3 linked regions of the Mus musculus genome follow. The protein of the gene in region 1 purifies or fractionates together with the protein of each later gene. This does not show direct contact. Links are inferred from orthologs where the notes say so. Each region holds a gene or a part of one and is shown in the gene's direction. Other genes may lie near its edges.

Region 1 (3,752 bases):
AGTTCAATTCCCAGCAACCACATGGTGGCTCACAACCATCCGTAACAAGATCTGGCGCCCTCTTCTGGAGTGTCTGAAGACAGCTAGTGTACTTACATATAATAAATAATTTAAAAAAAAAAAAAAAAACAAAGTTACACTTAGACCACTAAAATAAAAAGCTAAATGATAGTGATCTACATGAAAGTTTTGCTATAGTGTGCATTCATAGAAATTATTATTGCGTGCATCCAGAACGAAACAAAACACTACAATGTATAGGAAACATTTACACTTCTCTCAGGAGGCTTAGCACAGCAAGGGGTGATCTAATCAAAACACTGGCCCGTGACATTTCAAAACTGCTTTATTCTATCAGATACTACTTTCTACCAGATCCTTACGTAGAGAAATGGAAGTCAGCTCCAAGGGGGAAAGGAAGAAACACTTAGAAAAACAACAACAACAACAATAATTCCCTACTTGCGAGGGAACTTTCTGAAAGCCTCACCACTAGAGAGCAATAATGAGTACGAGTTAAAAGCGCGGCTCGGCGGCTCGCGACCTGCCACGTTACTAATTCTACTACTACGGCTCCAGAACGACCTTTTCTCACCAGAATGTTTTTTGGTTTTTTTCGGGCTTGTACTCTTGTCCGTGACTGAGATGACTAAAACAGAATAAGCTCGTTGCGCGTAACTCGGCATTAGTAAGTCCTCGAAAAGGAAGTGCTCTTCTAATTGGAGTTGTTCGGGGCAGGGCCTTGAGTGTGGAAGTGAGTCTGTTCAGCTCGGCAAACGCGCATATTTTTGTAACCCCCACAACTTTCATGTAAGGATTTTTTTTTTAAAAAAAACCTTATCTCTGATGGCCTAACATTCATTGGAGCTACTACTGCTGATATGCTCTTTATCTGGAGCCTTCATGGACCCTTTATTTCAAAGAACACAGACAAAGAATAGGCTGTAGACAAGTAAACCCACAACAAACTAGGCCGCAGCTCCTCCACCACATCTCTATTTTAGCCTTAGAAGGTCTTAGAGTTTAATATCTTCTTGAAGCCCAAACTGATTACGTAGCCACCGAGTTACGAGGGGCCCCCGAAGGACTTCCGTCGTGGACAACAGTCCTCTTTCCCAGCTCCAAGGCTGCAGAAGTCTAGGGAGAGATTTCCATGGCAACACAGGCCTCAGCTTCGAAATGGCGGAAGGCCTCCCGAAGGATAACAGAGACCCTCGTTTTGTTCCAGATTATGGTTGCGATCCGCAAACCTACCTCTTTTCAGGCCTCTGCAGTTCCCCAGAACCTCAACTCCCACCATGACTCCATTGCTGCGCAGCCCAAACTACACCTCCCAGGCTGCTCTGCGCCTCTCTTCCCATGCTCCTCTTCTCCCGCGAGGTTGTGTAGCTCTGTAAGGCCACGCCCCTCGACTCCAGCCGACCTTTGGCAACTACCATTCCCAAGATACTTCGCACGTAGTACGTTTCTGATACGTTTCCGGCCAGTGACGCACTTCCACTTTGCTAGGCGCGCGGTTCCCGGTCTGAAAAGTAGAACGCGGATTTGGCTAGGGCCTCGCGTCTCCGCCGCCCGGCATGGCCTCCTCACGAGCCTCCTCCACGGTACGGAGCTCTGGATCTAAGCTCAGGCCTGCCCTAGAGAGGCCGGGGGTTCCCGTGGGAAAGGGCCGTTACCTTACGGGTCTGGGCCGAGGAGGAGGAAAGCTGAGGGACCCTAGTGTGGACCTTAGTAGCCTTTTCCTGATGTCTTCGTGTGCTGCAGCTCTCTTTGCACTGCTCTTACTTAAGTCCTGAGCAGAGACCACTCTTTCTGGCTGCTCCAAAACACGGTGCTTTGGAATCGGGTTGTGTCCTGACTTAAGCTGTCCGACTCGTACTTACTATGATGAGGCTTCCCAACTTGTAATCGGCTCTGAAAGTATTTGAAATGTGTATTCCAGTCACATCGTGACTTGGTGCACCTAGAGCCACCCTGATTGTTTAGGTTGTTTTTAGTGTCTGCCCAGCAGTGAGAAGTTATTTTCGTAAAACCGGAGATTGCTTTTCCAGTCGATTAAAGTAACGGGCCCCAAAACAACCAAGACACTTCAGGCAGAAATTGATTGGTCGTATTTGTGTGCCAAACTTAACAAGAGCCTTAACTCGCACAAAGTCAGTTTCGACTTTCTCCTCTAGTTTTGAGAGGAAAGAAGATGAAAGTGCAGCGTTAGCTTCATTCTTTTGGGAAGCATGGTTTGCTGGAACTAAACCTTAGTCCGGGTCTTTGATTTAACAGACAACCAAAACCAAAGCGCCTGACGATTTAGTTGCTCCCGTTGTGAAGAAACCACACATCTACTATGGAAGCTTGGAAGAGAAAGAGCGGGAACGCCTGGCCAAAGGAGAGTCTGGGATTTTGGGAAAAGAAGGACTCAAAGCCGGCATTGAAGCAGGAAATATTAATATAACATCCGGTAAGATGCAAATTGCAGGTCATTACCCCCACACACACACCCTTTTTTAAACAGTGCTGGGAATCCAACCCGGGTTTTTTTTTTTTTTTTTTTGCATGCTAGGCAACTGTTCTGCCACTGAGCCATACATTTCCATCTCCCCCCACCCCCCACAGTCTCTTACCTTTGACCTCAAACTCCTCCTGCCTCCTTCCTGGTCGCCACCATGTACTTTTGATGATTCAATATTCTGATGAACACCTTCCCAAACCACATAGTATTAGGTTTATAGGCCAAAACCTTCTATTGGTCTGGGGAGCTAGTTCAGGTGCCAAAAGCTTTTCTCTGTGACCATTAGGACCTGAGACTGAGCCCCAGAACCCATGTTTTTTTACTGGCTTGTTTTTCCTTTTTCTAAAAAAAAAAAAAAAAAAAGTCAATGTGGTGGTACCTACTTAGAATGAAATGTTGGGAAGACATACTTGCAAACGCGTGCAACCTTACCCTTCTGTTTTCACCTTTGAGCCTGTGACTTTACCTGCTTGACATCATCCAGTGAGTGGATTTCTTGTATTCTCTACAGTTCCTTGCAGGAATGACTCGTGGTCTCTGTAGACTTCTTGAGTGGATTTGTCTTTGGGAGATGTAACCTAGTTCTGGCATTGGTTTATAACTGTTTATAGAATTCTTTCCTTTACTTTTCTAGGGTTTTTCTTTGTGTTTTCCTTTTTGTTTCTGTTTTTCAAGACAGGGTTTCTCAGTGTAGCCATGGGCCAAGCTGGCTGGCCTCCAACTCAGAGGTTCTCCTGCCCCTGTCTCCAGAGTGCTGAGAATAAAAGCATAAAAAAGAATAAAAACCACTACCTGCCTAGTTTAACTTAGTTATTATAAGTATTTAAATGTGCACACTTTTTCCCTGTACACATATACTATTCTTAAATGTCTTCAAGCCTGTCTCACTGGGGGTTAGGAGGGGCGAGGGGTTGTGGGTTTTAAAACTAATCGCCATAGTATCCAAAAAGACTTACCTTGTTGTCAGAGGAATCCTGTTTTTCCTGGTCATTATTTCCTCTCACTGTGTGTGAATGCTCTCCTGGGGGTACTGTTTTAGCAGGTAGGAGTTGGGCTTTCCAAATAAGAAATGTTCTAAGCTATAGAAAGAGATAGTGAAATAAATGGAAGAGGTGGCCTGGCCCTCCTGCCCTCAGTTTAAAGCATCACTTGGGTTTATGTGTTTGCTATCATTTAATAAGCTGAGAATTGAAAATGGTAAGCTATAAAAAGTAAGATAGATTAGATACAGTTCTTGCATATGCTT
Region 2 (3,652 bases), on another chromosome or scaffold:
CCTTGTACTAAGGCCAAATCAAGGAACTCCACATAAAACCAGAGACACTGAAACTTACAGAGGAGAAAGTGGGGAAAAGCCTCAAAGATATGGGCACAGGGGGAAAATTCCTGAATAGAACAGCAATGGCTTGTGCTGTAAGATCAAGAATCAACAAATGGGGCCTCATAAAATTGCAAAGCTTCTGTAAGGCAAAAGACACCATCAATAAGACAAAAAGGCCACCAACAGACTGGAAAAGGATCTTTACCTATCCTAAATCAGATAGGGGACTAATATCTAATATAAACCCATTTAAAAAATGGAGCTCAGAGCTAAACAAAGAATTCTCACGTAAGAAATACTGAATGCTTGAGAAGCACCTGAAAAATGTTCAGCATCCTTAATCATCAGGGAAATGAAACCAAAACAACCCTGAGATTCCACCTCGCACCAGTCAAAATGGCTAAGATCAAAAATTCAGGTGACAGCAGATGCTGGCGAGGATGTGGAGAAAGAGGAACACTCCTCCATTGTTGGTGGGATTGCAAGCTTGTACAACCACTCTGGAAATCAGTCTGGTGGTTTCTCAGAAAATTGGACATAGTACTACTGGAGGATCCCGCAATACCTCTCTTGGGCATATATCCAGAAGATGTTCCAACAGGTAAGAAGGACACATGCTCCACTATGTTCATAGCAGCCTTACTTATAATAGCCAGAAGCTGGAAAAAACCCAGATGCCCCTCAACAGAAGAATGGATACAGAAAATATAGTACATTTACACAATGGAGTACTACTCAGCTATTAGAAAGAATGAATTTATGAAATTCCTAGGCAAATGGATGGACCTGGAGTGCATCATCCTGAGTGAGATAACCCAATCACAAAAGAACTCACATGATATGTACTCACTGATAAGTGGATATTAGCCCAGAAATTTAGAATACCCAAGATATAAGATACAATTTGCGAAACACATGAAACTCAAGAAGAACGAAGACCCAAGTGTGGACACTTTGCCCCTTCTCAGAATTGGGAACAAAACACCCATGGAAGGAGTTACAGAGACAAAGTTTGGAGCTGAGACAAAAGGATAGACCATCTAAAGACTGCCATATCCAGGGATCCATCCCATAATCAGCCTCCAAATGCTGACACCATTGCATACACTAGCAAGATTTTGCTGAAAGGACCCTGATATAGCTGTCTCATGTGAGACTATGCCGGGGCCTAGCAAACACAGAAGTGGATGCTCACAGTCAGCTATTGGATGGATCACAGGGCCCCCAATGGAGGAGCTAGAGAAAGTACCCAAGGAGCTAAAGGGATCTGCAACCCTATAGGTGGAACAACTATATGAACTAACCAGTACCCCCCGGAGCTCGTGTATCTAGCTGCATATGTATCAGCAGATGGCCTAGTCGGCCATCATTGGAAAGAGAGTCCCATTGGTCGTGCAAACTTTATAAGTCTCAGTACAGGAGATAGCTAGGGCCAAGAAGTGGGATTGGGTGGGTAGGGGAGTTGGAGGGGAGGGTATGGGGAACTTTTGGGATAGCACTGGAAATGTAAATGAAGAAAATACCTAAAAAAAAAAAAAAGTTTTCAGTATTTGTTTCCTAAAAATAATATATTCCCTGAAGGTTTTCCTTTGAAGCAACTAAGTAACCAGCTGTCTTTTATGTTTATACTTTCAGCCAACTCAGACAGTAATGCCAGGACAAGTGATGCGGGTTACAACAGGTGCTCCAATCCCCTGCGGTGCTGATGCAGTAGTGCAAGTTGAAGATACTGAACTCATCAGGGAATCAGATGATGTATGTCACCACCAGGTTCCTGTGGCAGTATTAGAAGTCATACTCAGTTTCTACAGTGTTAGAAGATTAACTTGGATGGGGGGGGGGGTAGTGTTAATGTAATATGTCGGTCTCTAGTAAATAACTGTCATAAAGATTGAAAATCTTTTGACATTGGATGAACTTTTATGCTATTGTTAGTGTAGAATTTGAACTATGCCTAACATAAGAATCTTCACAGGCAAACAAAGAAATTATTTCACAATAAAAACAATGATATTAACAGTTGACATATCTTTTTGCTATGGAGATTACTACCTTCGAATAAAGATGATGAAGGTGTTCTTGGAATCAGAGTTTAATATAAAGGACTTTGGGCAAGTTCTTGAACCAAATGACCCTTTCACCACTGGTTTTCAGTTCAGAGAAAAGCTCTGCCATCAAATAAAAGCCTGGAAATATTGAACTTGTGTCAATTCCCTCCGCGTTGTTTCAAATAAGAGATACTTTATGGGATCTAAATAGGCCATTTTGTCAAGAAAACTAATACCAATTTTTAAAATCAGACTACTGTGGCTTGCCCTGGTTACGTTTCTATTGCTATGATAAAATCTATGCAGAAGCAGCTTGCAGAGGAAAGGGTTTTTCAGCTTACAGGCCACAATCCTTCTGTGTTAGGGCAGGCACTCAAGGCAGGAACTGAAGCAGAGACCACAGAGGAATGCTGCTTTTTGGCTTCTTTCCCATGGCTTGCTCAGTCTGCTTGCTCCACATGCACAGGGATGGCACCACCCAAAGTAAGCTGGGCTCCCCCCACCCCCCACATCAATCTTAAATTGAGAAAATGCCTTATTTTCTCAGTTGATGTTTTTTCTCTTCTCAGGTGGTTCTTGCTTATGTCAAGTTGACCACACCACCCCCTAAAAAAATAGCACAGGCTGGAGATGGTTCAGTGGTTTAAAGTACTTCCTGCTCTTGCAGAGGACTAAAGTTTGATTCCTAGCACACAGATTGTAATTCCATTTCCAAGACATCCAACACCCTCTTCTCAGCTTCATGGATACCAGGCCCACATGTGGTATATACATGCAGGCAAAGCATTCCTACACATAAAATACACCTCTTTTTTAAAAGCATACTATTAGGAATAAAACTACAATTTTTGACAGTTTTATAGGCTGATAATTATACCTGTTTTGTGAAGTTTAAGGAATCTTATATTCTGAAGGAGAGATTTAAAAAATAATGTATATTCTTGTAGATTAAGTAAATAATAAAATATAGCCATGGGAAGAGATAACCACCTTCCTTGTTCTGGAGATTTTTTTTTTTTAAAGCAGAAAGAGATTTTCCTCTTTTTTTTTTTCCATCTTCCTCATATATAAAATTCAACCTTTGGCACAGATCAGATGACCTGCTCTTAAAGCTGCCCAAGCAGAGTTTTATTAGCATCAGGGAAGAACATATGCATCCTCAAACTATGAGATAACAAGGCACAATTCCAGTGTCACAATATTATTCACAACCTGTGAATGTAAAATTGATAATTACTATAAGGTTACAGAAATCTACAGCCATGTTATACTTTTCTATATGTATTTGGGAATCTATACCTGTACATCATTTCTATAGATATTTGGGAACCTTGACACAATATTGAGCTCCATAGCAACCAAAAGAGAGGCTGTTGACAGGCACCTTCATTTATCACATGTGTGTGTATATATGTACATCATTTATATATACATGTATATGCATATATATGTGTATATATATATATGTGATTCTTGAGAATCTTATATACAAAATACAATTCAATGGTTTAATTGATATTTTTTTAAACCATGAAAATTAGAGAATGTACTGTTTATTG
Region 3 (3,652 bases), on another chromosome or scaffold:
GTTTTGTTGTTATTTGTTTGGTTTTTTGAGACAAGAGTTTCTCTATGTAGGCTGGCCTCAAATTCTGAGATTCAGAGATCTGTATGCCTCTGCCTCCTGAGTGCTGGAATTAAAGGCATGTGCCATCACCATCTGGCCTAATGGGTTTTTGTTTTTGTATTTTTTGAGGCAGGGTCTCACCATGTAGCTATGGCTGCCTTGGAACTTGCTATGTAGACCATGCTGGCCTCCTGGAGACCTTTTATTAGTTATGAAAGCTTGTCCTTAGCTTAGGCTTGTTCCCAACTACCTCTTAGATTAAACTAATCTCCATTCTGCCACGTAGCTTGTTATTTCTTGAGTACTAGCACCTGTTTCTTATTCAGTGTCTGACTGGCAAATCCCTCTTGCTTAATTCTTTCCCAGAGTTCTACTTCTGCCTGGAAGTTCTATCTATTTTCTCTTGCTTTGCTATAGTCCATTGAGCTCTTTATTAAACCAATCAGAAGGTGTTGAAGAGAGTGTGCACAAAATATGATGCAGCCATAAGAATAACAGTATCAAAGTGCAGCTTGTACTCTGTGTGGTACAGAAATCAGCATTTGAATAATACAGAGATAACCTTTCCACAGTGCACAAACATATCATCCCAACACACCACAGCCTCCCCGATTCTGTGGCTCTTACTATCTTTATTCAGTTCCTTCCTTCACAATGTCCACCGAGCCTTAGGTGCAGGAGTGTTCTGTAGATGGGACTGGGCTCCACAATTCTGCATTTTCATTAGCTGTGCTTTTCTGTAGTGATCTCTGTCTATTGTAAAAAAAAGTTTCCTTGATGAGGGGTGAAGTCAGTACTTCCTGTGGTTATAAGCACAAATGTTTAAGATTGTTGTTAGGGGGCTGGAGAGATGGCTCAGAGGTTAAGAGCACTGACTGCTCTCGCATAGGTCCTGAGTTCAATTCCCAGCAGCCACATGGTGGCTCACAACCATCTGTAATGGGATTTGATGCACACTCTACCGTGTACTCATATAAATAAATACAAAAATAATATTTAAAAAATGATTGTTAGGGATTATGCTGGTTTTATAAAGTAGTGGTTGTTGGTTCTCTTCAAGATCCATGACTTCATAGCACCAAGTAGGTAATCTGTTTCCATTCTCAGGCATGGTTATCCTCTGGTTGAGCAGGTGTTAAGTCCAATTAGAAAGCTGCCAGTTACTGTCAAATATGTGTGTCACTACTGCACTCTTAGGGGTATTATGCTATGTTGGTTATTGATGTTGTTCCATAGGCATCGATAGCAGGTTAAGGGTGTTTGTCGCCTTGTTCCTTTGGAAGTTTGACTGATATCTTCTGGTACCATGAATGCTAGTCTTCACAGAGGAAGCATTCAGGTCATTTCCAGCTCAGGGGTTTCTGGGCTCTATTCCTGAAATCCATAATGTCTTCTGCAGACACTGGGTGTTGGGGGGGGCAATTAAGGACAGCAGCAATAGGCTGTATGCTTTAGTAGTCTTTTGGACAGCCTTGATTGTCAGACTAATTTAAAGCATGACTCTAAATCTCTGGGAGGCTGAGGCAGGAGGATTGTGAAAAGTTGGAGGCCATGGGGGTGGAAAGAAGTCTCTGAGAACACCGGCTGCTCTTCCAGAGGACCAAGGATTGGAGTCCCAGCACAGACACTTCCATTTGCAACTGTCCATAATTCCAGTTCCAGGAGTCTGATGCCCTTGCTTGGCCTTCACAGGCATTGCGTGCATGTGGTGCAGACATATATGCAGGCAAAAAAGCGAAGACGTAAAAGGAAAGGGAAAAGTCTTAAGGTCAGTCTGAGCTGTGTGTACACCTTGTTTCTCTTGTTTGTTTGAGACAGGGCTTCTCTATGTAGTCCTAGGTGTCCTAGAACTCACTATGTAGACCATGCTGGCCTCCAACTCACAGAGATCCTTCTGCCTCCTGAATGCTGGGATCAAAGGCATGTACCACCATTGCCTGGCTTCAAAGGACTGTGGAGAATGAGTTACATAAATGAGTTATGTAAGGCTGCAGAGTAAAGCCTGTACATAGAAGGTGAAGGAGGAGGAAGAGGAGGAGGAAGAGGAGGAGGAGGAGGAGGAGGAGGAGGAGGATTCATTCCCTTTTATCTCCATTACAGCCAGACCCAAAGGCTCCAAAGGTTCCAGAGACTTCATCCTTGGACTCAGCCCTTGCTTCTTCCCTGGATCCTCAGGCGCTGGCCTGCACCCCAGCTTCTCCTCTAGACTCACTGTCTCCAACTTCTGTTCAAGAGTCTGAGTCCCTGGACTTTGACACCCCATCTTCTCTGGCACCACAGACACCCGACTCTGCTTTGGGCTCTGACACTGTCACCTCTCCTCAGTCTCTGCCTCCAGTTTCACCACTGCAGGAGGACAGGAAAGAGGGGAAACAGGGGAAAGAGCTAGAATTAGCAGAAGAAGCCTCAAAGGACGAGAAGGAGGAGGCAGCAGCAGTGTTAGAGCTGGTGGGATCTATTCTCCGTGGCTGTGTCCCTGGAGTGTACCGAGTCCAAACTGTGCCCTCTGCCCGGCGTCCTGTGGTCAAGTTCTGTCATCGGCCTTCAGGTCTTCATGGAGATGTATCCCTCAGTAACCGGTACTTTTGTGTGGGGTTGAAGGCTGGCTCTAAGGTCTGGGGTATATGAGGAGGGGGTCCTGATGTGGACGAGCTTATGCCTGCTGAATTTGTTTTTCTTCTTTGGTTCAGTCCTCCTTTCTTCCACGAATGTCACCTCCTACCTGGCTTCCATTTCAGTGTTTTTTTTTCCTTTGGAATACTTTGTGCGTTTGAGTCAGAGTCTTGCTCCATTGTCCAGACTGGCCTCAAGCCTGTGATTCTCCTGCCTTAGCTTCCTAACTCCTGGGGTTACAGGCATGTGCTGCTATGCTTGACTCTGCAGTACTGCTTTTTGTTGTTGGTTTTGTTTTTTTGAGACAGCCTGTGTTGAGACAGGCTAACCTTGAGCTCATAGGCCTTTGCCTCCTCCTTTGGGGTTAAAAGCGTAGGAAAGAGTTCTGTAGCTACAGAAACCTAGGAACTGTTAGGTTAAAAGTAAACAGGGTTTTCCTTCACTATTTTTCCTTCCCTACTCCATGCTTTGTTTCTTTGTATATTAAGAGCTTTGCAACCAAATGCCTTCTCTTGAACCCCATAAAAGGAGGCCACAGATTATAACTGGGCCTCCGAATACTCTCATTCATGTGGCCCGCATATTTCTTTCAGATCTGTATTATCACTTTGCATTGAATAAACTATTCTTGCTACTATGCTTCTTATATTTGTGTCCGCATCTCATCTTGAGTGTAGTCAGAGAATGACGTGTGGGAATCAGTTCTCTTCCTTGTAACATAATTCCTAGGGATTAAACTGAGGGCGTCAGTCTTGGTGGCAGACTCTTACCCACTGAGCCATCTCACTGGTCCTGTGTCTCTGAGGCAGTGTCTCTATATTCCTATTCAATCTCTTGAGTATTGAAATTATAGGCACGTGCTACTACACCTGGCCGTTGAGCAGTCCTATATAAATAAACAACATGTCTTATGAATGGTGACAGTACAGGGTGAGCATTTGGAATGTAGTATTGCCTAAGGTTCAGTGGATACATATTCCCCCCTACCTCATCCCTAGGC

Evidence for each region.
Region 2: the proteins of Prpf4 (region 1) and Gphn purify together in Homo sapiens (affinity purification with mass spectrometry; 3 studies listed by BioGRID and IntAct, counting the BioPlex papers as one, with this or other methods). This does not show direct contact. The link is inferred for Mus musculus from reciprocal best matches to the Homo sapiens genes PRPF4 and GPHN.
Region 3: the proteins of Prpf4 (region 1) and Tut1 purify together in Homo sapiens (co-immunoprecipitation; 3 studies listed by BioGRID and IntAct, counting the BioPlex papers as one, with this or other methods). This does not show direct contact. The link is inferred for Mus musculus from reciprocal best matches to the Homo sapiens genes PRPF4 and TUT1.

Annotation. Positions count from the first base shown.
Region 1 is NC_000070.6:62,407,298-62,411,049, forward strand, and holds the start of Prpf4 (U4/U6 small nuclear ribonucleoprotein Prp4), read left to right. Parts: upstream 1-1,485; 5' UTR 1,486-1,577; coding exon 1,578-1,604; intron 1,605-2,277; coding exon 2,278-2,455; intron 2,456-3,752. UniProt on the Homo sapiens protein: Plays a role in pre-mRNA splicing as component of the U4/U6-U5 tri-snRNP complex that is involved in spliceosome assembly, and as component of the precatalytic spliceosome (spliceosome B complex).
Region 2 is NC_000078.6:78,621,624-78,625,275, forward strand, and holds part of Gphn (gephyrin), read left to right. Parts: intron 1-1,680; coding exon 1,681-1,800; intron 1,801-3,652. UniProt on the Homo sapiens protein: Microtubule-associated protein involved in membrane protein-cytoskeleton interactions. It is thought to anchor the inhibitory glycine receptor (GLYR) to subsynaptic microtubules.
Region 3 is NC_000085.6:8,960,205-8,963,856, forward strand, and holds part of Tut1 (speckle targeted PIP5K1A-regulated poly(A) polymerase), read left to right. Parts: intron 1-2,139; coding exon 2,140-2,618; intron 2,619-3,652. UniProt on the Homo sapiens protein: Poly(A) polymerase that creates the 3'-poly(A) tail of specific pre-mRNAs. Localizes to nuclear speckles together with PIP5K1A and mediates polyadenylation of a select set of mRNAs, such as HMOX1.